3 linked regions of the Sus scrofa genome follow. The protein of the gene in region 3 interacts with the protein of the main gene of each other region in a pairwise test. Links are inferred from orthologs where the notes say so. Each region holds a gene or a part of one and is shown on either strand. Other genes may lie near its edges.

Evidence for each region.
Region 1: the proteins of STX5 (region 3) and CCDC155 interact in binary tests that used the Homo sapiens proteins (3 or more experiments, as listed by UniProt). The two-hybrid records come from large-scale screens. The link is inferred for Sus scrofa from reciprocal best matches to the Homo sapiens genes STX5 and KASH5.
Region 2: the proteins of STX5 (region 3) and STX3 interact in binary tests that used the Homo sapiens proteins (3 or more experiments, as listed by UniProt). The link is inferred for Sus scrofa from reciprocal best matches to the Homo sapiens genes STX5 and STX3.

What each region holds. Positions count from the first base shown.
Region 1 is NC_010448.4:54,473,297-54,481,150, reverse strand, and holds the start of CCDC155 (protein KASH5), read right to left. Parts: upstream 4,163-7,854; 5' UTR 3,974-4,162; intron 1,476-3,973; 5' UTR 1,382-1,475; coding exon 1,339-1,381; intron 1-1,338. UniProt on the Homo sapiens protein: As a component of the LINC (LInker of Nucleoskeleton and Cytoskeleton) complex, involved in the connection between the nuclear lamina and the cytoskeleton.
Region 2 is NC_010444.4:11,703,460-11,710,588, forward strand, and holds part of STX3 (syntaxin-3), read right to left. Parts: intron 3,606-7,129; coding exon 3,497-3,605; intron 2,668-3,496; coding exon 2,594-2,667; intron 2,513-2,593; coding exon 2,378-2,512; intron 414-2,377; coding exon 303-413; intron 157-302; coding exon of another isoform or gene 46-156; intron 1-45. UniProt on the Homo sapiens protein: Potentially involved in docking of synaptic vesicles at presynaptic active zones. Apical receptor involved in membrane fusion of apical vesicles.
Region 3 is NC_010444.4:8,943,040-8,950,168, reverse strand, and holds part of STX5 (syntaxin-5), read right to left. Parts: intron 2,583-7,129; coding exon 2,466-2,582; intron 2,388-2,465; coding exon 2,331-2,387; intron 2,158-2,330; coding exon 2,076-2,157; intron 1,023-2,075; coding exon 916-1,022; intron 747-915; coding exon 625-746; intron 1-624. UniProt on the Homo sapiens protein: Mediates endoplasmic reticulum to Golgi transport.

The sequences.
Region 1 (7,854 bases), on a different chromosome or scaffold from region 3:
GGTTCTTGAGACCTGAACTGTGGTGAGTATGAATTGAGATGCTCTTACTGTAATGTATACACTGGAAGACTTAGTATGAAAAACCGAGAATAATTCCAATACTTTCTGGGTGGCCGCGCTCATGGCATATGGAACTTCCCAGGCCAGGGATCACACCTGTGTTGACCAGTGACAATACTGGATCCTTATCCCACTAGGCCATCAGGGAACTCCATCCATTTTCTTTTTTTTCTGTCTTTTTAGGGTCACGCCCTTGGCATATGGAAGTTCCCAGGCTAGGAGTCGAATCGAGCTACAGCTGCCAGCCTACACCACAGCCACAGTAACGCCGCATCCTTAAGCCACTGAGCATTGAACCCGCTTCCTCAGGGATACTAGTCGGGTTCGTTACTGCTGAGCCACAATGGGAACTCCCCCATCCATTTCTGTATTTATTACAGGCTGAAAGGACACTGTTTTGGACGTATTGGATTAAATGAAATCTATTACTGCCATTCATTTCATCTGTTTCTTTTTTTCTTTTATTTTTATTTCTTTATTTTTGTCTTTTTGCCTTTTCTAGGGCCACACCCATGGCATATGGAGGTTCCCAGGTTAGGGGTCGAATCGGAGCTGTAGCTGCCGGCCTACACCAGAGCCACAGCAATGCAGGATCCGAGCCGCATCTGCAACCTACACCAAGCTCACGGCAACACCGGATCCTTAACCCACTGAGCAAGGCCAGGGATCGAACCTGCAACCTCATGGTTCCTAGTCAGATTCGTTAACCACTGAGCCACGACGGGAACTCCTCTTTTTTTCTTTTAATGTGGCCACTAATAAACTTTATAATTACACATGCGGGATGGTTGGCCAGCGCTGCTCAATGGACCAGGAATACCAGAGTGAGTAAAACTGAGCCTGCCCTGTGGAGCTCATGTTCTAGTGGGGGAGACAGAGACTAGACAGACAAGTGGATGGCAGTGCCATGAAGAGAAGGAAAGCAGGAAGAGGAGAGAGGGCCATAGGGCAGCGGCCTTACAGGAAGCAGAGCTCTGAGTGAAGTGAGGGGTGAGACCGTGGGTCACCGGAGACAGGAAGGCACACAGCGCATACAGAGGCTTCGGCTCTCGCACTGTCCGGCCTCCCCAGGGCAAATGAGATACGGTGTCCAGACAGGTGGGGACACAGCAGGCACTTAATCAATGGTTACTCCTTCCCTACCACCCAGCATCAAGGTGGAGGCTCAGTCACCCCTGAGCCACCTCTCCCAAGTCCCAGGGTCACAGCTTGGTGCCCCCTTCACTCACTGCTTCCTCCTCACCCTCCCAGGGGACAGACAGGGACCCGGCTACTTACTTTTTGCAGTGGTGCCACCTGCAGGGCCCTCAGGCAGGTCCATGGGGCACCCCCGCTGCTCTGCAGCTGCCGGTGAAGCTAAGAGCTTCCCTCCATCAGTGGGAGGGACGGCGAGGGAGAGGCTGCTCTGAGAGCTCCTGGAGGGACAAACAGGGGAATGGCCTCTGCAGACCAGCCACCCGCGGATGGGGACCTGGCTGCCCCACCCCTGCCCCAGGCCATTCTGGGTTCTCAGAACCCGTTTGCCCACCCCAGCCTGGACCAGAGCAGATCCCTGGTCCGACCTGTTTTACGGATGCCGGGAAAACAGGGGCCCAAGGAGTGGGCAGCAGACGTCAAAGGGGGGCTGGTGGGTGGGGGGTCACTGCCTCTTGCCATCCCTCCTCTACACCGTTTGTCAAGCTCCCCGGCCCTGTCCCTTCTGCCCAGTGACTCCACCCTGTCCCCTCCTCTCCTTCCCTCTGGCCCTGGGTCAGCCCTCGGCCTCGTCCCCCGCCCCCAGGATCTTGACCCAGCTTCCTGCCTCTAGCCTCCTGCTCTAGTCCCTCCTCACAGGGCCCGACAGCCGCCCTGCCCCTCAGCTGCCCAATGTCTTTCCATGGCTCCCAAGCACCCCAGGGACAAAGCCTCAAACCTGAACTTGATATCAAAGGCCCTGAGTGGCCTGATATCACCACCTGCCTCCCCCAACCCCAAATCCCATGTGCTGTTCCCCAAACTGGACTGGCTCTTCCCACTCCAGGTCTCTGACTCGGACACCCTCCTTGCTGGCCCTTCCTGTCCAGTTCATCCCTCCTCTGGAAAACACTTCTTTCTTTTTTGTTTTTGCGTCTTCTTCTTCTTCTTCTTTTTTTTTGTCTTTTTGCCATTTCTGGGGCCACTCCCACGGCACATGGAGGTTCCCAGGCTAGGGGTCCAATCAGAACTGTAGCCACCGGCCTACACCACAGCCACAGCAACGCGGGATCTGAGCCATATCTTTGACCTACACCACAGCTCATGGCAACGCCGGATCCTTAACCCACTGAGCGAGGCCAGGGATCGAACCCGCAACCTCATGGTTCCCAGTCGGGTTCGTCAACCACTGTGCCATGACGGGAACTCCTGTTTTTGCTTCTTAGGGCTGTACCTGTGGCACATGGAGCTTCCCAGGCTAGGGGTAGAATGGGAGCTGTAGCCCACAGCCTACACCACAGCCACAGCAACGCCAGATCCAGGCCACGCTTGTGACCTACACCACAGCTAATGGCAATGCTGGATCTTAACCCACTGAGAGGGGTCAGGGATCGAACCCACATCCTTATGGATAGTAGTTGGGTTTGTAACCCGCTGAGCCACAACTCCCTTGAAAACGTTTCTGAATGATGCACGGTCCCTGGGCTCCCACACTGCCCTGGGGCACTAACATCCTTGCTCTATCAGCTTGTATTTGAACTGCTGGCCTCCGCTGTGAGTCTGACCCCTGTCTCTCTCCAGCTCCCAGCCCTTCCATGGCTCCCTAGTGCCCTCAGCCCCTCTCTCTTCATCCCAGCTTCTTAGGCTGGTGTGACACAGACTGGTCCCTGCAGCTCCTGGCTTCTGTCACCCTTCTCTCCACTGGCCAACCTCTAGGTCCCTCACTCTCATCATGGCCTATGGAGACCCAGCATTCTCTGGACCCAGCAAACTCCTCTGGGGAGCCTTCCCGGAGCCACTGGAGCAGCTAGGGACGCCCTCCTTTGTGCCCTGACGATGCCCTGACGATGACAATGGTGCCCACAGGGCTGAACTGGGCACGCTGGGGCTAATGGTCATCGCAGGGTTGCCTGGGGCCTCTCTGTCCTCACCCCACCCGCACAGCCCCTTTCCTCACCCAGTACTCCCCATACCCCCTTCTCCCTGGTGCCAGGCAGGAGCTACAGCTATGGCATGCACGCTTCCTGGCCATTTTTAGAAGGTCCTAGAAAAAGGGATCTTTGAAGAGAGACCCTTTCAGGGTGTGGACAAGGCGGGGGGGGGGACGGGCGGCGGAAGAGGGTCAATAGTTGTGGGTCCTGTGTGGGGAAGGGTCCCTGAGAGCCTCTGACAGGGTTTGGGGGACACACTCCTGGTGAGGGACCCAGGGAGGCTTTGGGGTCTTGGATGGGGAGATTCTAGCAGGAGGACCTGGGCAGGAATTCTGGGGATATAAGGGGGTCTCTAACTGGATTTCAAGAGGGTCTCTGACTGGATTTCTGGGGAGTCTCTGGGTTTGGGGGGGCGGACATTTCTGACAGGATTTTGGAGGGGAATCTGACATGATTTTTGGTGGATGTGACAAGACTTCTGGAGATCTCTGGGAGGACCTTGGGGGCTTTCTAGTAGGATTTACAGAGGGAGTGAAATGGGACTTCAGGGGGGCTCTCTGACAAGCTCTGAGGGGGAAGACTACAGAATTTCTAGAAGATTCTGACGCGATTTCAGGGGTCATCTATAAGATTTCGGGGGGGTTCCTTTCAGTATTTCTGAAGGAATTTGGTCAGGATTTCAACAAGGCTTTTTACAAGGCTTGGGAGGCTTCTGCATTGGGGCTCTAGCCTATGATTTGGGGGCTTCGCTAGTCAGGAGGAGTTCTGACGCGGCTACTCTGGGGAACCTCGCTAAGGCCGGAGCGCACCTGAGGCCACGGCCCAGTCTCGGGACACAGCTGAAGGCCACGAACGGGACAGTCTCGGGACACAGCTGAAGGCCACGAACGGGAAAAGGCAGTTGGGTCGTGAGGAGACGCGCGTGCGCTCTTCCCGCCAGAAAAAGCGAAGAAACAGAGGCGTGACCGAGAGCGAACGCGGTGCCTAAGCCACGCCCCTCCCGGGCTCCTCCCCCGACGCAGGCGCACACCGGGGCGAGGCGCGCGCTCATGCAGGTACCAGCAAGGCTGCGCATGCGTAGAGATGCCCGCGGGCGAGCCCCGCCTGGTGGGGCGGGGCGGGGCGGGGCGGGCGCATGCGTATTGGCCGAGCGTCTAAGGCAGAAGGGGTTCCCAACTGAGAGGAGGCGGCGGGGTCACCTACGTCCCCTGTACTGGGTCTTCTCTGTGGGCTCAAGTTTCGGTGAAACGGACCCCAGTGAGGGAGAGCTGTTATGAGCCACCAAGTTTTGCCCTCTGTTCAATGCTGGGCTGCCGGTCACCGTCACAATGCCGTCCTGCCTCACCCCTCCGGAGCCGTTTTGGGGCTCCAGTCACGAAGGGGTCATAGATCCCCGAAGAATTTTTTCCCAAACCGTTTAATTCATTCCCTTTCGGAGAGAGTGGAGAAAAAATACCTTCAGCTTTTCTGGCTAGAGAGAGGAAGAGGATTACAGCCCAGATTGACTCCCTGGGAGGGGCATTTGGGATAAAAGATGTTATGCCCACTCGGCCTCTTTGCTAGCCCAGACAGAGAAAAGGCATCCTTTTTCTTTAATTTTTATTTTTTGCCTTTTGTCTTTTTAGGGCTGCACCCCGAAGCATAGGGAGGTTCCCAGGCTAGGCGTCGAATCGGAGCCTACGCCACTGCCACACCAGATCTGAGCCGGGTCTGCGACCTTACCACAGCTCACGGCAACACCGGATCTTTAACTGAGCGAGGCCAGGGATGGAACCTGCATCCTCATGGATGCTAGTCATATTCCTTTCCGCTGAGCCACGACAGGAACTCTGAAAAGGCATCCTTTTGCATCCTCTTCTCCATCTCACCATCATGCGTTCAGCGGTCACTTCCTAAGAGAGGCCTTCCGCTGACACACTGTCTACACTTCAGATCCTCATCTCTATCCACTTACTGTTTTTTAGTGGTCCTCGTGGCACGTCTCACCATGTGATCTACTCTAAGTTTGTGCACTGTCACCTCCCTCCGCCCCCACTCCCCACCGCCTCCCCCGTTGTGAGCTCTTAGCAGTAAGAAGTTGTTTGGGAACCAAAACATAGCTGGTCCAGTGTGTACACCCCAAAATTTTTTGTTGAATGAATGAACGAATGGATGGACAGTATCCTTGCCTCTGAACTGCTGGGCAGTGTAGAGTGATAAGACCAGAGTCAGACATTCTTGGGTTTGAATTTTGGCTCCATCGCTTCCTTCCCGTAACCTCAGTTTTCCTCCCAGAAATGGAGATAACAATTGCTTCTCAGGTTACCTCAAGGACTTAAGGTGGTAATCCTTGTTAATTGATGGTTATTATTTTGGCTATTAGATGGTGGTTTGTTAAAAATCTGGGAAAGAACCTGTTTGGTAGGTGATGTGGTGAGTGGTGAAAAGCATGAGATGTGGAATGAGACAACCCAGCGCCATTGCTGTGTGACTTTGGCAAGTGATTTCACCTCTCTGAACCTTCAGCATCTTCCCTAAAATAAGAACAAATAATACCCACCTCAGTGGTCTTATGAGATTCAAAAGAATGTTTGCCACGTGTTTTCTTGGCAGTGGCTCTCAAGTGGTGGACCCTGTTAACTTTATTAGTATGATGTAATTCTTTCATTTTATTCCTTCAGTATTCCTTGCTTTTTCTTTTTCTTTTTTTTCTTTTTCTTTTTTTTGAGGAAGTTAATTTTGTGAAAACTAAAATAATTAAAAAACTGTTTTAGGAGTTCCCATTGTGGCTTAGCAGAAACGAATCTGACTAGCATCCATGAGGATGTAGTTTCTTTTTTTTTTTTTTTTTGTCTTTCTGCCTTTTCTAGGGCCGCTCCCGCGGCATATGGAGGTTCCCAGGCTAGGGGTTGAATCAGAGCTATAGCCGACGGCCTACACCAGAGCCACAGCAACGTGAGATCCGAGCCACCACGTCTGCGATCAACACTGCAGCTCACAGCAATGCCAGATCGTTAACCCACTAAGCAAGGCCAGGGATTGAACCCACAACCTCATGGTCCCTAGTCAGATTCGTTAACCACTGCGCCAGGATGGGAACTCCCATGAGGATGTAGTCTCGATCCCTGGCCTTTCTCATCGGCTTAAAGATCCAGCATTGCTGTGAGCTGCGTCGTAGGTCAAAGATGTGGCTCGGATCTGGCGTTGCTGTGGCTGTGGCATAGGCCAGCAGCTACAACTCCAATTCAACCCCTAGCCTGGGTCTGCAGTAGCGTAGGCTCCACTTCGACCCTAGCCTGGGAACCTCCATAGGCCGTGGGTATGGCCCTAAAACGACAAACAACAACAACAAACAAACCTGTTTTATAGTCACATACGTAAAGTGCTAAATCTTGTTGTAGCTCAATTACATTTTTATAGAGTAATGCTTTAATGAAACCACCCAAATTAAAAAAAGAATATTACCTGCAGCACAGAAGCCTTCACACCTCCTCCTAATCACTACTCTCTAAAGGTGAGCCATTTTTTAAAAATTTATTTAATTTTTGGTCCATACCTGTAGCACCAACAAGTTCCCTGGCCAGGCATCAAACTTGAGTCATAGCTATGGCAATGCCGAATCCTTAACTGCTAGGCCATCAAGGAACTACATCAAATCATATTTTAAAAAATTTCACCAAAAATCTTTTGTCGAGTTCCCATCATGGCTCAGTGGTTAATGAACCTGACTAGGATTCATGAGAATGCCAGTTCGATCCCTGGCTTCTCTCAGTGAGTGGGTTAAGGATCTGGGGTTGCTGTGAGCGATGGTGTAGGTTGCAGACAAGGCTTGGATCTCGAGTTGCTTCGGCTGCAGTGTAGGCCAGTGTCTGTAGCTCTGATTCAAACCTAGCCTGGGAACCTCCATCTGCCATGGGTGCGGCCTTCGAAAGCAAATACATAAATAAATAAATAAAATAATCTTTTTGTTCCTAATGTCTAGGGATAGAATTGATTTTGGTTAATCTTATATACAGAGAAAGGTAGCAGAGTACACCTCCCCAAGATATCCTCCTGCGGCACAAGGATCGTTTTTCTTTTCTTTTTTGGCTGTTGCGTGGCATGTGGAGTTCCCAGGCCAGGGATCCATTCTGAGCTGTGCTTGCAGCAAAGTGGGATCCTTAGCCAACTGTCAGGTCAGGGATATAATGGAATATTCGTCCCAGGCCTCCCAAGACGCCACTGATCCTATTGCGCCACAGCAGGAGCTCCACAAGGATCATTTTGAGCTGAAGACAGTTGAGAAGCAGATACAAGAAAAGCTCTCTGCACTTCCCCTATCTGCCTAAAAGCTGTATATAGATTTGTAAAGGCATTCCCTCTTCTCTTCCTGCCAGAAAGGACAGAAGTTATTAATAACTCTAGACTTTTTTTTTTTTTTTTGGTCTTTTTGTCTTTTCTAGGGCTGCACTCGCGGCATATGGAGGTTCCCTGGCTAGGGGTTGAATCAGAGCTGTAGCTGCCGGCCTATGCCAGAGCCACAGCAACGTGGGATCAGAGCCATGTCTTCGACCTACACTGCAGCTCACGGCAGTGCCAGATCCTTAACCCATTGAGTGAGGCCAGGGATTGATCCTGCAATGTCATGGTTCCTAGTCAGATTCATTAACCACTGTGCTACGATGGGAACTCCAATAACTCTAGACTCTTATCAACCCAGACACAACACCCA
Region 2 (7,129 bases), about 2.8 Mb from region 3:
CAGAGAGAGGACAAGCTGTTGGTCCAGCCGAGACCAAGGGCTCACCCTCCGAGCTTCACTCTGATACTTGACAGCCTTTTTGGTATCCGCCACGGCCCGCTCCACGAAGCCCACTGACTGGTCCATGTTGTTCTCAATACGGTCAATCATGGCTCCCTTCCCCCGGATACGAGAGGTGGCAGAAGCAGGAAGAGAGATGGGGAGAGAGAGGAGCAGGGTGGGGAGGAGAGAGAGAGAGAGAGAGAGCAAGAGACAGCACACACAATGGATCCTCTTCTCCAAAGGCAGTGCCAGAGTCTCACCTTGCGGGCCTGACCCTGGTACTTCACGGCTCTTTTCGTTTCCTCCCGAGCCTTCTCCACGTGGTCCACTGTGTGCATGACATTCAACTCTATGTTATCTAACATCTCACCCTGCAAAGAACAGACACTCGTCACACCTGGGAAACCCACCTGAGGATGGTCCTACTCAGGTGAGAAAGCAGTTCTCCTTCTTTTCAGCGCCAAGAGGAGCATCTGGAAACTTCACTGTGCAGCCTTCCACAGGACCAACTATCACATCTTCCCCATGACCCTTGACTACCTGTGATGCCCAGGCCGTGGGAGTTGTCCCAGAAACATTCACTCAATTACTTCTCCGAGACAGCACAGCCCCGGGCAGCTGGGGCACATTGTCTAGAGGCTTGGTATGTTCTTTTTTTTAACATGAACTATGTAAGGAAAGAAGCCAAGAAAAGTATATCTCATGTTCTTAGGGCATTACCAAGATGCTGACCTCTTCCTGGTGATTCAGACCTGAACCAAGTTCATTCAGCCTGAACTGAGTGTGTTCACTTCTAGAGAATAGTGCCCAGCACACAGCAGATGCTCAATAAATAACTGAGGTGGGAACAGCTGTGGTTTCTCTAAGATAATTCCAGGCCCCACAACTGACAAACATTGGTTTTTACCAGTTATCTGGTTAAGAGACAGAGGTCTCTTAATAAGATTCCCAACCATTTCTCAGCTATTACTTCCTGACCGGAGAGTTGGTTTCTCCAACTGATTTTCTTCGCATCTTAGGCTGGGAATTCCCTTCACTGACCCAGACCTTCCGAACCCAACCCATGGCTTTATGGGAGTCTTTAAACAGGGAAAGGCACTTACCACCACTCGAATCTCAAACCAGTCCCTCGGCAAGGCAGTGTGGGGAGAAAAAAGAAGAGTGGGAATGGAGGGATGGAGAAGTGGTCTCTGAGGCCAGAGGGAGTGGAGGAAAGGCCCCAGAGCCCAGACCAGGGAATTGATGTCAAAACCAGCCAGGTAGTGCTCAGGCTTCAGTTGGGTTTCCTTCTACAAAGAAAACAGCTTTCCAGCCTTTCCAGGTGGCAGAGCCTGGAAATAGTGCCACCAAACCACAGCACCGTGGCGTATTTAACTGCATCATAAGAACCAGGAGCCATGCGACTGACACCACCATGCAGGGGACAGAGCCTTCCATCCCTGAACCAGAACCAAACAGGCCAGCAACCTAAGCACTGGAAGTGTTTCCAGTTTTCCTGCAAATATTCTTTTGCTCTTTCTTCATTTACCGTGTGGTCTGCTCTTGTTCCTTAGCAAAAAGCATCCAAAATTTTGGAAAAACACATACAGGAGAAGAAACAAAAATGGCAAAACAGGGAGTTCCAGTTGTGGCACAGTGGTTAACAAATCCGACTAGGAACCATGAGGTTGCAGGTTCGATCCCTGGCCTTGCTCAGTGGGTTAAGGATCTGGTGTTGCCGTGAGCTGTGGTGTAGCTCGCAGATGCAGCTCGGATCCCGTGTTGCTGTGGCTCTGGCGTAGGCCAGCGGCAACAGCTCCGATTAGACCTCTAGCCTGGGAACCCCCATATGCCACGGGAGTGGCCCTAGAAAAGGCAAAAAGACAAAAAAAAAAAAGCAAAGCATAAAAACCTGTTAAACCTAACTTCTCATTGTGAACCTGGGAAAAGACCCTATGTATCCATGTCACCAGTGAAATAGTTCCTATCAGGAGGTTGTTTTAAGGCATCATTAAGAACCTGTATTTCTAACTTTAAAAAAAAAAAAAAAAAAAAAAAAAAACAGCAATCCTGAGGCTGGAGGAAACCAGGTACTTGGCAGAGCACAGCAAACCCCATATTAAGTAGAAGTGATTTCCGAGCCAAAGTAACAGGCTCGAAGGACAAAGTTGTGATTGTTGGAAGTGTCAGCACCCAAGTTCATTCCTTTCCCGGCCACACTGGAATTCTCTGATTCCACTGCAAATTCCTAATGATTCTCCAGCCCCACCCGGTTTTCCAGGAGGCCCCTCCTCAGGCTTTGCAGGAGACCCAGGGCTTCCGCCCTCCCTGCCTATGCTGGTACCCCGGGCATTACCTGGTTCTCCACCAGCATGGCAATGTCCATGAACATGTCGTGAAGCTCCTTGATGCTGCTCTCCAGCCTCACAATGTCCTTGTGCCGCCCCTCGATCTCGCTGAGGGCTTGCTTGGAAATCTGAGAGTCGATGATCTACGACGGTCCACACAGAGACCTTCAGCCCCCACCCCAGCAGGGCTCCCTCCTCCCTGCCCCCTGCCCTGCATCACTCACCCCCGAGGTGAAGATGGCAGGGTTCCCACTCTCCAGCATCTCCTCCAGCTCCTCATCCGTTGTCTTCTTGCCAGCTTTATAACAAAAGAAGCAGAGCACACCATTTCAAAAGTTCCCCCCAAGTGGGAATCACACCAACCTCATCATAAAGACCAAGGCCTTTGCAACACTCCAAGGGCCTCCCGACTCGCCTTTCTCCTGAGTTCTCCCCTAGCCCAGTCCATCCCTAACAGGATCAGCAATTCCCTTCCTGAAGCACAAGTCTGATCACATTCCCTCCAGCTCAGAATGCTTACTGGCCCCTTGACTATGCCACAGAGAACAAGGTCCTCAGGAGGAGGAGCCCATGCTGCCTGGGTGACCACCCCCCCATCTGTCCTGACCTCACCCTGCTGCCCAAATGCGCCCCGTCCCCAGGCCCGGGACAGCCGCCCCTCCTGACCACATGTGCTCTGTCCTGGCTGCACCTTTGTTTATACAATTCCTGCACCCAAACCACATCCCGCCCTGCCCTCCACACAGCTGATTCCTAAAGGGCCGGCTTTATTGATTTCTTGATTCCTCACGGCAACTAGCATCCTTCTTTGCTGTCAACAGGCAGCAAGAGATGTCGTAAGCTCAGAAGAGGGCAGCTGGGTAGCAGATGTTTCCCTCCATGTAGGAGGAAACGCCGGTTCCCATGGCAACCGAACACTGGTGCCTGATGACCTGGAGCCACCCTCCAGCCTGAGACACCACGTCCAGGATGCGCCAGTGCTGTAAGGCCTCTCCTCGGCTTGGGCACAAAACAGAAGGCAGAGGCCACCCACGGGGCTGCTCCCTCTCCTCTGGCCTCACAATCTGGGACTGACAAGTGCGTGGCAGGAAAGGGGAAGGGGCACAGGCCAAACTTCAAACACGCACTGATCTCCAGCTGCCGCTGGATCCGCCCTTTGCTGCGTTCACGGAAGTCCACCTGCGCCTCGTTGTATTTGGTCATCACCTCCACAAACTTGCGGGAGAGGACGGAGTGCTGTGGGGACAAGGTCAAAGGCCGTGAGCCCCCGGGGGGAGAGGGAGACGGAAGGTCCACGACTTACAGAACCCCAGCCCCACACAGCCTCCTCTATGGTAGCACCGGGCTTGGAAAAAAGACTCAACTATTTTTTTTTTTCTTGTCACAGCTGCACCCTCAGCATACGGAAGTTCCCCAGCTCTGAGTGAAACAGGAGCTGCCAGCCTATGGCACAGCCACAGCCACAGGGGATCCAAGCTGCATCTGGGACCGACACCACAGCTTGTGGCAAAAGCCAGATCCTTAACTCACTGAGCGCGGCCACGGATCAAACCTGCATCCTCACGGGTTCTTAACCTGCTGGGTCATGATGGGAACTGTGAGACTCAACTTTTTGGTTTTCTAACCTTACACCACTGGGAGAGCCGGCTGACCCTTCCAAAGCATGCTTTCAGTATTTGTTTACCTGCCTTGATGAACTCGTGAAGTAACTGTGAGACCAAAGGAGACCTCTTTGTGAATCTCAGAGGCCCTGCTCTCTAAAGCTGCGGACTCACCTCCTACATCCAAAGGTCCTTGGGCTCATACGCAGACTCATCTCCCCAACTTTTCTTGCATCCAACTCAAGGCATTCACTCAACGGCCCTGGGGCCTAAACTCCTATCTTTATCATTTTGATTCATTGCCCACCTCTCAGCATCAAGCCCTACTCGTTTTTCCTTTGCAAAAATCATCCATATCTACAGTGCTTTCAATCCCATGATCACCGTGCAAATTCAGACCAAAACCACTGCAAAAACCCAACTAGAGACCCACCCACCTCTTGCCTCTTCCCCATGCCAATCCGCTTTCATATGGATACCAGATTATCTTCCTAATAGACTGCAACCTGAAGTTACATGCAGGCTACTCAGTCAAATGCAACGCCCTAGACGGTAGTCACAGGCCTTTGGAATATGGCGCTGTGTTCTCTACTGAAACTCAATATTCACTATTCCAAGACAAACTTTTTACTCTAGTCAGACTGTTCTCTTCATGTCTGCCCCCCACCCCTACCACTTCCAACACACACACACACACACACACACACACATACACACACACACACCCACACACACACCACTTTTGCCCCCATGCCTCTAAGGAGAATCTCTTCCTGGGCCTGTACATGGTGGCACTCTTTTTACTTTTTTGTTGTGGCCAAAGATCAAACCCACAACCTCATGCACACTATGTTGGGTTCTTAACCCACTGAGCCACAAGGGGAACTCCCACAGTGGCACTCTTGCCCATCCATGGCCCAGCCGCCTCTGGGCACCCCAGATCTCCCCGAGCTCATCTGAGGCTGAGGGCATGTGCGTTTCAGCATGTCTTTCTACACGGCTTTCCTGGGGGTCTTGTGTCAAGTTTCCTTGTGCCACTTGAACATCGTGCCATTTCTTCAAGGACAAGGATCATGTGTCTGATGACCACCAAACAGGACAAATGATGACCAACAATCTTCGGAAGGAACACTTTAGTTTCCTCAGCTGTAAACCAGGGAGGCACGCTCAACCCTAAGCTGCCTCTGGGAGCCTCAGAGGCCTCCCTAGAGGAGAGTGTGAGAGGGGCCACCAGGGCCAGACTCGACCCCGTCCCCTACTTCAACCTGGGCAGCTCTCCTCTACCAGCTCTTCAAACTGAATTCCAAACAAGAGCTGTTTTGTTTTTTTGTTTTTTTTTAAGACTCCACTGCTAGAAAAGAGAACCCCCCTACATGATGGTGGGAATGTAAATTCATGCAGCCACTACGGAAAACAGTATGGAGGTTCCTTTAAAAACTAAATATACAACTACCATATGACCCAGCCATCTCATTCGTGGGCATCTATCTGGACAAAACTAATTCAAAAGGATACATGCATCCCTATGTTCAGAGCAATGCTATTTATAATAACCAAGACAGGGAAATAACAGATGAACAGGTGAAGAAGTGGTACGTATACATACCATGAAACACTACTCAGCCATGAAAAGGAATGAAAATGAAATAATACCATTTGCAACAACAAGGATGGAACTAGAGATTATCATACTAAGTAAGTCAGACAAAGACAAATATTATATGATATCACTTATAGTTGGATTCTAAAAAATAATACAAATGAACAGATTCACAGACATAGAAAACAAACTTATAATTACCAAAGGGAAAGGGGGGGGAATAAATTAAGAGTCTGGGATTAACAGATACACACTGCTGTATATGAAATAAACAACAAGGATTTACTGTACAGCAGGGGAACTATATCCAATATCTTATAATAACCCATAATGAAAAAGAATCTGAGAAAGAAATATATACATATCTCCCAGGATACTCACCCCAACTAACCACACCTTACTACTTTTTTTTTTTTTGGTATTTTTAGGGTCACACTTGCAGCATATGGAGGTTCCCAGGCTAGCGGCTGAATTGGAGCTATAGCTGCCAGCCTATAGCACAACCACAGCAAGGCCAGACCCAAGCCATGTCTTCAACCTACACCACAGCTCATGGCAGTGCTGGATCTTTAACCCACTGAGCGAGGCCAGGGATCAAACCTGCGTCCTTGTGGATACTGTTTCTCTGAGCCATGATGAGAACTCCTACCCCACTAATTTAAAACACTCGGAGTTCCCGTCGTGGCGCAATGGTTAACGAATCCGACTAGGAACCATGAGGTTGCGGGTTCGGTCCCTGCCCTTGCTCAGTGGGTTAACGATCTGGCGTTGCCGTGAGCTGTGGTGTAGGTTGCAGACGCGGCTCGGATCCTGCGTTGCTGTGGCTCTGGCGTAGGCCGGTGGCTACAGCTCCGATTCAACCCCTAGCCTGGGAACCTCCATATGCCGCGGGGGCAGCCCAAGAAATAGCAACAACAACAACAACAAAAGACAAAAAGACAAAAAAATAAATAAATAAATAAAACACTCAACTGCCCCCCCCCCCATTAAGTCTGAAAAGCCTCTTTCTTTTTTTTTTTTTTTTTTTTTTTTTTTTTGGTCTTTTTTGCCATTCTTGGGCTACTCCCGAGGCATATGGAGGTTCAAGGTTAGGGGTCAAATCGGAGCTGTAGCCGCCAGCCTACACCAGAGCCACAGCTACGCGCGATTCGAGCGGCATCTGCAACCTACACCACAGCTCACGGCAACACGGAATCCTTAACCCACTGGCCAGGGATCGAACCTGCAACCTCATGGTTCCTAGTTGGATTCATTAACCACTGAGCCACGACAGGAACTCCCCTGAAGAGCCTCCTTAATTCATATATACAAACTGAATCGCTTTGCTACTACGCACCAGAAACTAACACAATATTGTAAATCAACCATACTTCAATAAAAATTTTTTTTTTTTTTTTTTTTTTTTTTTTTGCTTTTTAGGGCTACACTTGTGGCATATGGAGGTTCCTAGATTAGGAGTTGAAATGGAGCTACAGCTGCCGGCCTACACCACAGCCACAGCAACGCGAGATCTGCGCCACATCTGCAACCTACACCAAAACTCCTGGCAACACTGGATC
Region 3 (7,129 bases):
TCAGGGATCGGACCTGTGTTGTCATGGATACTAGTCAGGTTCTTTTCCACTGAGCCACGATGGGAACACCTCTTTCCCTCTCCCTTGCATGGCTGGATCCCTCCTGCTGTTCATGCCTCTCCTTAAATGTCGAGTCGAGTCTTCAGAGCAGCCTTCCCTGCCACCCTATCTGACATACCTCCGCCGACACTTTCTCAACACCTCGTCCTACTTTCTCGGTATAGCCCTTTATCACTACCCGAAAATTTCTTTAAATTCTTTTTTTTTGCTGACTCCACTGCATGAGGAAGTTCCCAGGCCAGGGATCAAACCTGTGCCACAAGAGAACTCCTTGTCAATTCTCTTTAATAGCTCTCCTCACCCACCTTGGTAAATTCTGTATGAAGACAACAAAGTAAGCCTCACGAAACAGATGTAACTGTCTGTTCATCCCCACATCCCCAGCACCTAGCACAGGGCCTGGTGGGAAACAGGTGCTCAGTCAACACTTGTCGAGTGAACAGAGGGAGGTGAACTGACCCTGGGGGTGGACAGGGTTCACCCTCTCTTCCAAAGGGCATCAAGCTGCCCCTGGGGACCTTTAGGATGCCAACCCCCGAGGGTTAAAGAGAGGAAGAGTCTCACCTCTGAATGGTTTCTTCCTGTTCCTTAACCATGTGTGCCAACTGCTGGAAGATGGAGCCAAGCTCCACAATTGTGGACTCAATGTTCTGCATGGTGTCTGCCCGGGTCTGGATGTAGGAGTCCTTCAGAGGGAGAGAGTGCACATGAGCCCTGGGAGCTTCCTCAGGGCGGGGCCTGCCTCTTGAGGGCCCTCCCTCTTGCCATTCCACCCACGGCACATTCCAAACGCTTGCTTGTGGCCCACGGAGGAAACCAGAGGAGCTACTCCTCCCCCGCTCAGAGCCTGGGTACCTGCTCATCAATGAGCTGCAGCTGCTGGCTGGTCCTAGAATCCATCATGTCAATGGCCACGTCCCCAGAGGCTCGGGACTCTGCCCCCAAAACCACAGCACCGCCCCCTGGGGGAAGAAAGAAGACACGGCACTCCTTAGTGGTTAAAAGGTTCAAAGCCCACATGCTCTGGATTTGAATCCCAGCTCCGGCAATTACTAGCCTTGTGACCCTGGACGTCTCTGAGACTCAGTTTCCTCAGCTATAAAACGGGGGATAATAATAGCTGCTTTCTCAAAGGGTGGTTGCCAAAATTAGATGATGGAATGTAAATAAAATGAACAGGTGCACAACAAATACTAGAAACTGTTGGAGTTCCCATCGTGGTGCAGCAGAAACGAATCCGACTAAGAACCATGAGGTTGAGGGTTCGATCCCTGGCCTTGCTCAGTGGGTTAAGGATCTGGTGTTGCCATGAGCTGTGATGTAGGTCACAGACATGGCTCAGATCTGGCGTTGCTGTGGCTGTGGTGTAGGTCACAGATATGGCGTGGATCCCACGTTTCTGTGACTGTGGCCTAGGCCAGCAGCTGTAGCTCCAACTGGACCCCTAGCCTGGGAACTTCCATATGCCAAGGGTACAGCCCTAAAAAGCAAAGAAAATAAAAATAAAAATAAAAAATACTAGAAACTGTCATTCTTGGAGTCCTATCGTGGCTCAGTGGGTTATGAACCCAACTAGTACCCGTGAGGATGCAGGTTCAATCCCTGGCCTCGCTCAGTGGGTTAAGGATCTGACGTTGCCATGAGCTGTGGTGTAGGTCACACACTCGGTTCAGATCCCACGGGGCTGTGGCTGTGGCGTAGGCTGGTGGCTGCAGCTCTTACTCCGTCCCTAGCCTGAGAACTTCCAGATGCCGTAGGTGTGGCCCTCAAAGAAAAAAAAAAAGAGAGAAACGGTCATCCTTCTGAACTTGACTTCTCACCCCAACGGTGAGAATGAATGTGGGAGACCAGGTGTGGACTGCACATCCCACCCTCAGCTTTGGCCTCTGAGAGATCAAGCCGAGCACCGTCCTTGGCCCTCCTTTCTCCTACCCAACGCCTGCCTTAGAGGGTACCCTCAGAGCCGGAGTAACGGCGCCTTACCCCCAAGGCTCCCTGCGCTGCCTGTGACTTACCGAGGTGGTTGGGCGCGAGGGGCAGGGCTGACACGGGTGCCCGGGAGAACTGCTCCCGCCGGCTCCTCTGCTGCTTCAGGTTCTGGGGTTGGGGAGGAAGGGGAAGCGCCTGAGGCCTCTGGAAGGCCGGCGTGTTAAAGAGACCCCGCCTGCGGCCCGTGACCACCCCGCCCTTCCCTTCCACTTGTCCCTTTCCTGTTTCCCTCGGGGACCCTCATCCCCAGACTCCTAGCCCCCTACACAGCTCCTTCTCACCTCTGTCCTCACTTCCAAAACTGATTTGAAGTCATTGGACATGGAGGCCAGCTTCGACTGGAAGGAGAGGAGAGAGGGTCAGCCAGAGGAGACAACAACTGTCCGCCTTCTGCCTCCCCCGCTCCCGGGTCCCACCTGCAGGGAGACCACAATGGTGTTGGAATGCGTCTGCAGGTGCCGGCCGCTCTGGCTGCCCTTGGCTCTCACGAAATCCTGAAGCTGGGCGATTTGCTTGTTGAGGCTATTGATGTCCTGGTGAAAGAGGAAGCAGAAAAACTTGAGTATCCACTGGGAGGGAGGGGGGTGTCCTCGGCCAGCGTCTCCCCCACATGGACATCGCTGGCAGGGACGGCAAGGTGGGCATTTCTAGCAGGGGTGATGGTATCTCCGACACTCAGACCAGAAAGGCCTGCTGGGACGGTCCGAGCTCTGGCGTTTGCTCTGGCTCGGTCCCTGCAGAGGAGAGCCAGAAGGAGGTGGTGACATTTGTAAATAACTGAGCTGCTGACTCCCTCCACCCGGCGGCCCCACCCCCACCCCTGCTGTGAGGCCAGGCGCATGGCCACAGAACCCCTTAAAAGGCCCAAATCTCTGACCCACAGCACACTGACCAACAGCGGGGCTGGGGCAGGACTCAGGAGATGGAAAGAGTCAAAGGCAGCATGGTTTCCCAGGAGCAATCAATAAAATTTTTACATACAGAATGCCTTCTAAAAATTACTGCTGGAGTTCCTGTCATGGCTCAGCGGAAATGAATCTGACTAATATCCAGGAGGACACAGGATCCCTGGCCTCACTCAGTGGGTCGGGGATCCAGCATTGCTGTGAGCTTTGGCTCAGATCTGGAGTGGCTGTGGCTGTGGCGTAGGCCGGCACCTGCAGCTCCAATTTGACCCCTAGCCTGGGAACCTCCATATGCTGTGGGTTCAGCCCTAAAAAGACAAAAAAGAAAAAGAAAAAGAAACAAATAATTAATAAATATTACTGTTGCGGGGAACAGCTGCAGCTCCAATTTGACCCCTAGCCTGGGACCCTCCATATGCTGTTTGTGCAGCCCTAAGAAGACAAAAAATAAAAATAAAAATAAATAATAAAATTTAAAAAATTACTAATGTGGGGAGTTCCTGTGGCTCAGTGGTAATGAACCCAACTAGTATCCATGAGGAAATGGTTCAATCCCTGGCCTCGCTCAATGGGTTAAGGATCCGGTGTTGCCATGAGCTGCAGTGTAGGTCCCAGATGCAGCTCAGATCCTCTGCTGCTGTGTCTGTGGTGTAGGCTGGCAGCTGCAGCTGCGATTCAATCCCTAGCCTGGGAACTTCCATGTGCCGCAAGTGGGGCCCTAAAAAGACAAAAAAGAAAAAAAAGAAAGAAATAGGCTAGAAAAAATAACTAGATCAGGCACCTTCTGGAGTCCTGCTGACAGCCCCCCCCATTAGTACCCCCCCAATTGCTATCCCATTCCAACCATTCTTTCAGGATGCCGGGACAATTTCCACTGCTGATTGGTCTGTCTCTTTGGAGTTAACGGAGTCTCCTCACAACCATGTGTCCAAAACTGCATTCCAGCTTTCCCCCCTCCACCAAATCTCCCCAAGAAGCTCAGAAAATGGCACCACTTCCCACCTAGGTATCTGAGCTAGAAGCTTCTCTTCTTTCTTTCTTTCTTGTTTTTTCTTTAGGGCCGCATTCGTGGCATATGGAGGTTCCCAGGCTAGGGGTCTAATCGGAACTGCAGCTACTGGCCTACACCACAGCCACAGCATCATCGGATCCGAGCCGTGACTGCGACCTACACCACAGCTCACGGCAACATCGGATCCTTAACCCACTGAGAGAGGCCAGGAATCGAACCCCCGCAGCCTCAGGGTTCCTAGTCAGATTCATTTCCGCTGAGCCATGATGGGAACTCCCCTAGAAGCTTCTAAGTCACATGCCGACACCTTCTTAACTTGACCTGCTGCCACAAGAAAACAGAGTCTACACTGAGCGTTTACTGAGCACCGGGTGCTTTGTGAACAGAATGGCAGCCCCGTGTTTGATGACCACGTGCTACGCAACCCAAGCAGCATGCGACGTCCTCTTAAACTGAACGTAGAAAACAACTCTTAACTCCCCCTCAAAAAAAACCATTCCCCCTTCTTTGCCATTTTGGTAAATGGCACCACCATTCACCAGTTGCTCAGACCAAAAACTTGAGTCATCCTCAACTCATCTCTCTTCCCTTAAACCACATGGACCCACAAAAAAAACCCCAGCTGATTCCGACATATACCCTGAATGTGTCCACCAGTCTATACCAAAGCCATCCTAGTCCAAACAGTCCACTTGTCTCTCAAAAATCTGCCAGAGCCTCCTAAGTGAGCTTCCTCTTAGAGTCTGCCCCTTACAATCTGTTTTCTACACAACAACTGCAGTGACTGTCTACACCAAAAAGAGCGCATTTCATCCCTCTGCTTGAAATCTTCCAAGAGCCTCCCACTAAATTTAGAATACAACCCAAATTCCCTACCTGGCTTACACGGGCCAATGGTCTAGCCCTGCCCACGCCTCTGGCCTCGCCGTCCCTTCTCCTTCTCACCTGCTGTGTTGTAGCCACAACGACCTTTTCCATGTGAATCTCCTGCAGCAAGGCTGCCCAGGCCTCAGGGCCTTTCCCCTTACTATTCCCACTTTCTCGAAGGTTCTCCTCCTCCCCCGATCTTTGGATAACTAGCTTTTCCCCCTTACCATTCAGGCTTCCGTGTCCCTTCCACAGCCAGGCCATCCTATATCACCATATAAAGTAGGCCCAGGAGTTCCTGTTGCGGCGCAGTGTAAACAAATCCCACTAGTATCCATGAGGTGGTGGGTTCGATCCCTGGCCTTGCTGAGTGGGTGGGGGATCTGGCACTGACGTGAGCTGTGGTGTAGGTTGCAGATACAGCTCGGATCCATAGTGGCTGTGGCTGTGGCTGTGGTGTGGGCTGGCAGCTGTGGCTTTGATTTAACCCCTAGCCTGGAAACTTCCATATGCCAAGAGTGTGGCCTTAAAAAGCCAAAAAAAACAAAATAGTAGGCCTCCCCTACCCCGAATAACTCGCTCACCTGCTTTCTTTATTAGGATTTGCCACTACCTGAAAGTGTCTTTTCTGTTTTCTTGTACAGCGTTCCGATGACCCATTCAGAAAGGAATTTCCCAAGGGCAGGGACCACAGTTGTCTTCTTTGCTACTGAGACCCCACAACCAGGCAGCCAAAAGTCACTCAATAATGTGAGTGATTGAAAAAATAAACCAGGGAGTTCCCGTTGTGGCTCAGCAGGTTACAAATCCAATTAGTATCCATGAGGATGCGGGTTTGAGCCCTGGCTTCGATCAGTGGGTAATGTTGCTGCACTGTGGTAGGTCACAGACACAGCTCAGATCCAGTGTTGTGGCGCAGGCCAGCAGCTGTGATTCGACCCTTAGTCTGGGAACTTCCATATGCTGTGAGTGTGGCCCTAAAGAGCAAAAAAAAAGAAAGAAAGAAAGAAAAAATAAACCAAAGCATCCTCACAACTTCCCTGAGGTAGGTACTATTATTGTGGCCTTTTTATTTATAAGGGGAATGAAGCTCAGGGTAGTCAGGTAGCTTACCCATGAGTGGTGAGCCCAGGTTTTGAAGTCTGTCTGAATCCAGTCAGTGGTTCTTTTGTTCGTTTTCTTTTGTTTTGCTTTTGAGGGCCGACCCCACAGCATATGGAAGTTCCCAGGCTAGGGGTCAAATCAGAGCTGCAGTTGCCAGCCTACACCACAGCCACAGCAACGCCAGACTCGAGTTATGTCTGTGGCAATGCCTGATCCTTAACCAACTTGAGGGAGGCCAGGGATCAAACCTGAATCCTCATGGATCCTAGCGGGGTTCATTACCGCTGAGCCACTACGGGAACTCCCGCAGTCAGTGGTTCTTAAATGCCTATGCAATAACGCCCCAAGACTTAATGGAACCCTCTCTTTTGGTCTCAGCACAGCATCTCTTGAATGTGTCTGCCCTTTGGCCTCTGCCATAATCACCTTCCTACTGGCAATCACACGAGTCTCCTCCCTAGCTTCTCAGTTCATCCACGCTCCAGGGTTGTTTTTTTTTTACCCTAAGATGATTCAATTTCAGAGTTCCCATCATGGCGCAGTGGTTAACGAATCCTACTAGGAACCATGAGGTTGCGGGTTCAATCCCTGGCCTTGCTCAGTGGGTTAAGGATCCGGCGTTGCCGAGAGCTGTGGTGTGGGTCACAGACGTGGCTCGGATCCCGAGTGGCTGTGGCTCTGGCGTAGGCCGGTGGCTACAGCTCCAATTAGACCCCTAGCCTGGGAACCTCCATATGCCGTGGGAGTGGCCCTAGAAAAGGCACAAAGACCAAAAAAAAAAAAGAAGATGATTCAATTTCTCATTTTATTCTTATTACATTGTTCTGAGAAAGAAAAGAATCAAACTATTAGGGAGTTGCTGTTGTGGCTCAGCGGAAACAAATATGACTAGTGTCCACCCACAGTGATCTTCACAACCAGCTACCAATCTACTCTTCCAGCCTTATCTGCGGCCAGTCACTCAACTGATCAACAAATATTGAGTATCCACTATATGCCAGACCCTGTTACAGGCACTTGGGATACATCTATAAACAAACAGGAAGAAAAATCTCTGCCGTTATGGCATTCACACTTTTTTTTTCTTTTTGAGGGAGATGAGGTAAGTGGGAGGAAACAGAGACAAACCATAAACATAAGAAAGGTAATCACAGAAACCATTAGAATGTACATAAAAATGCTATAAAAAAAG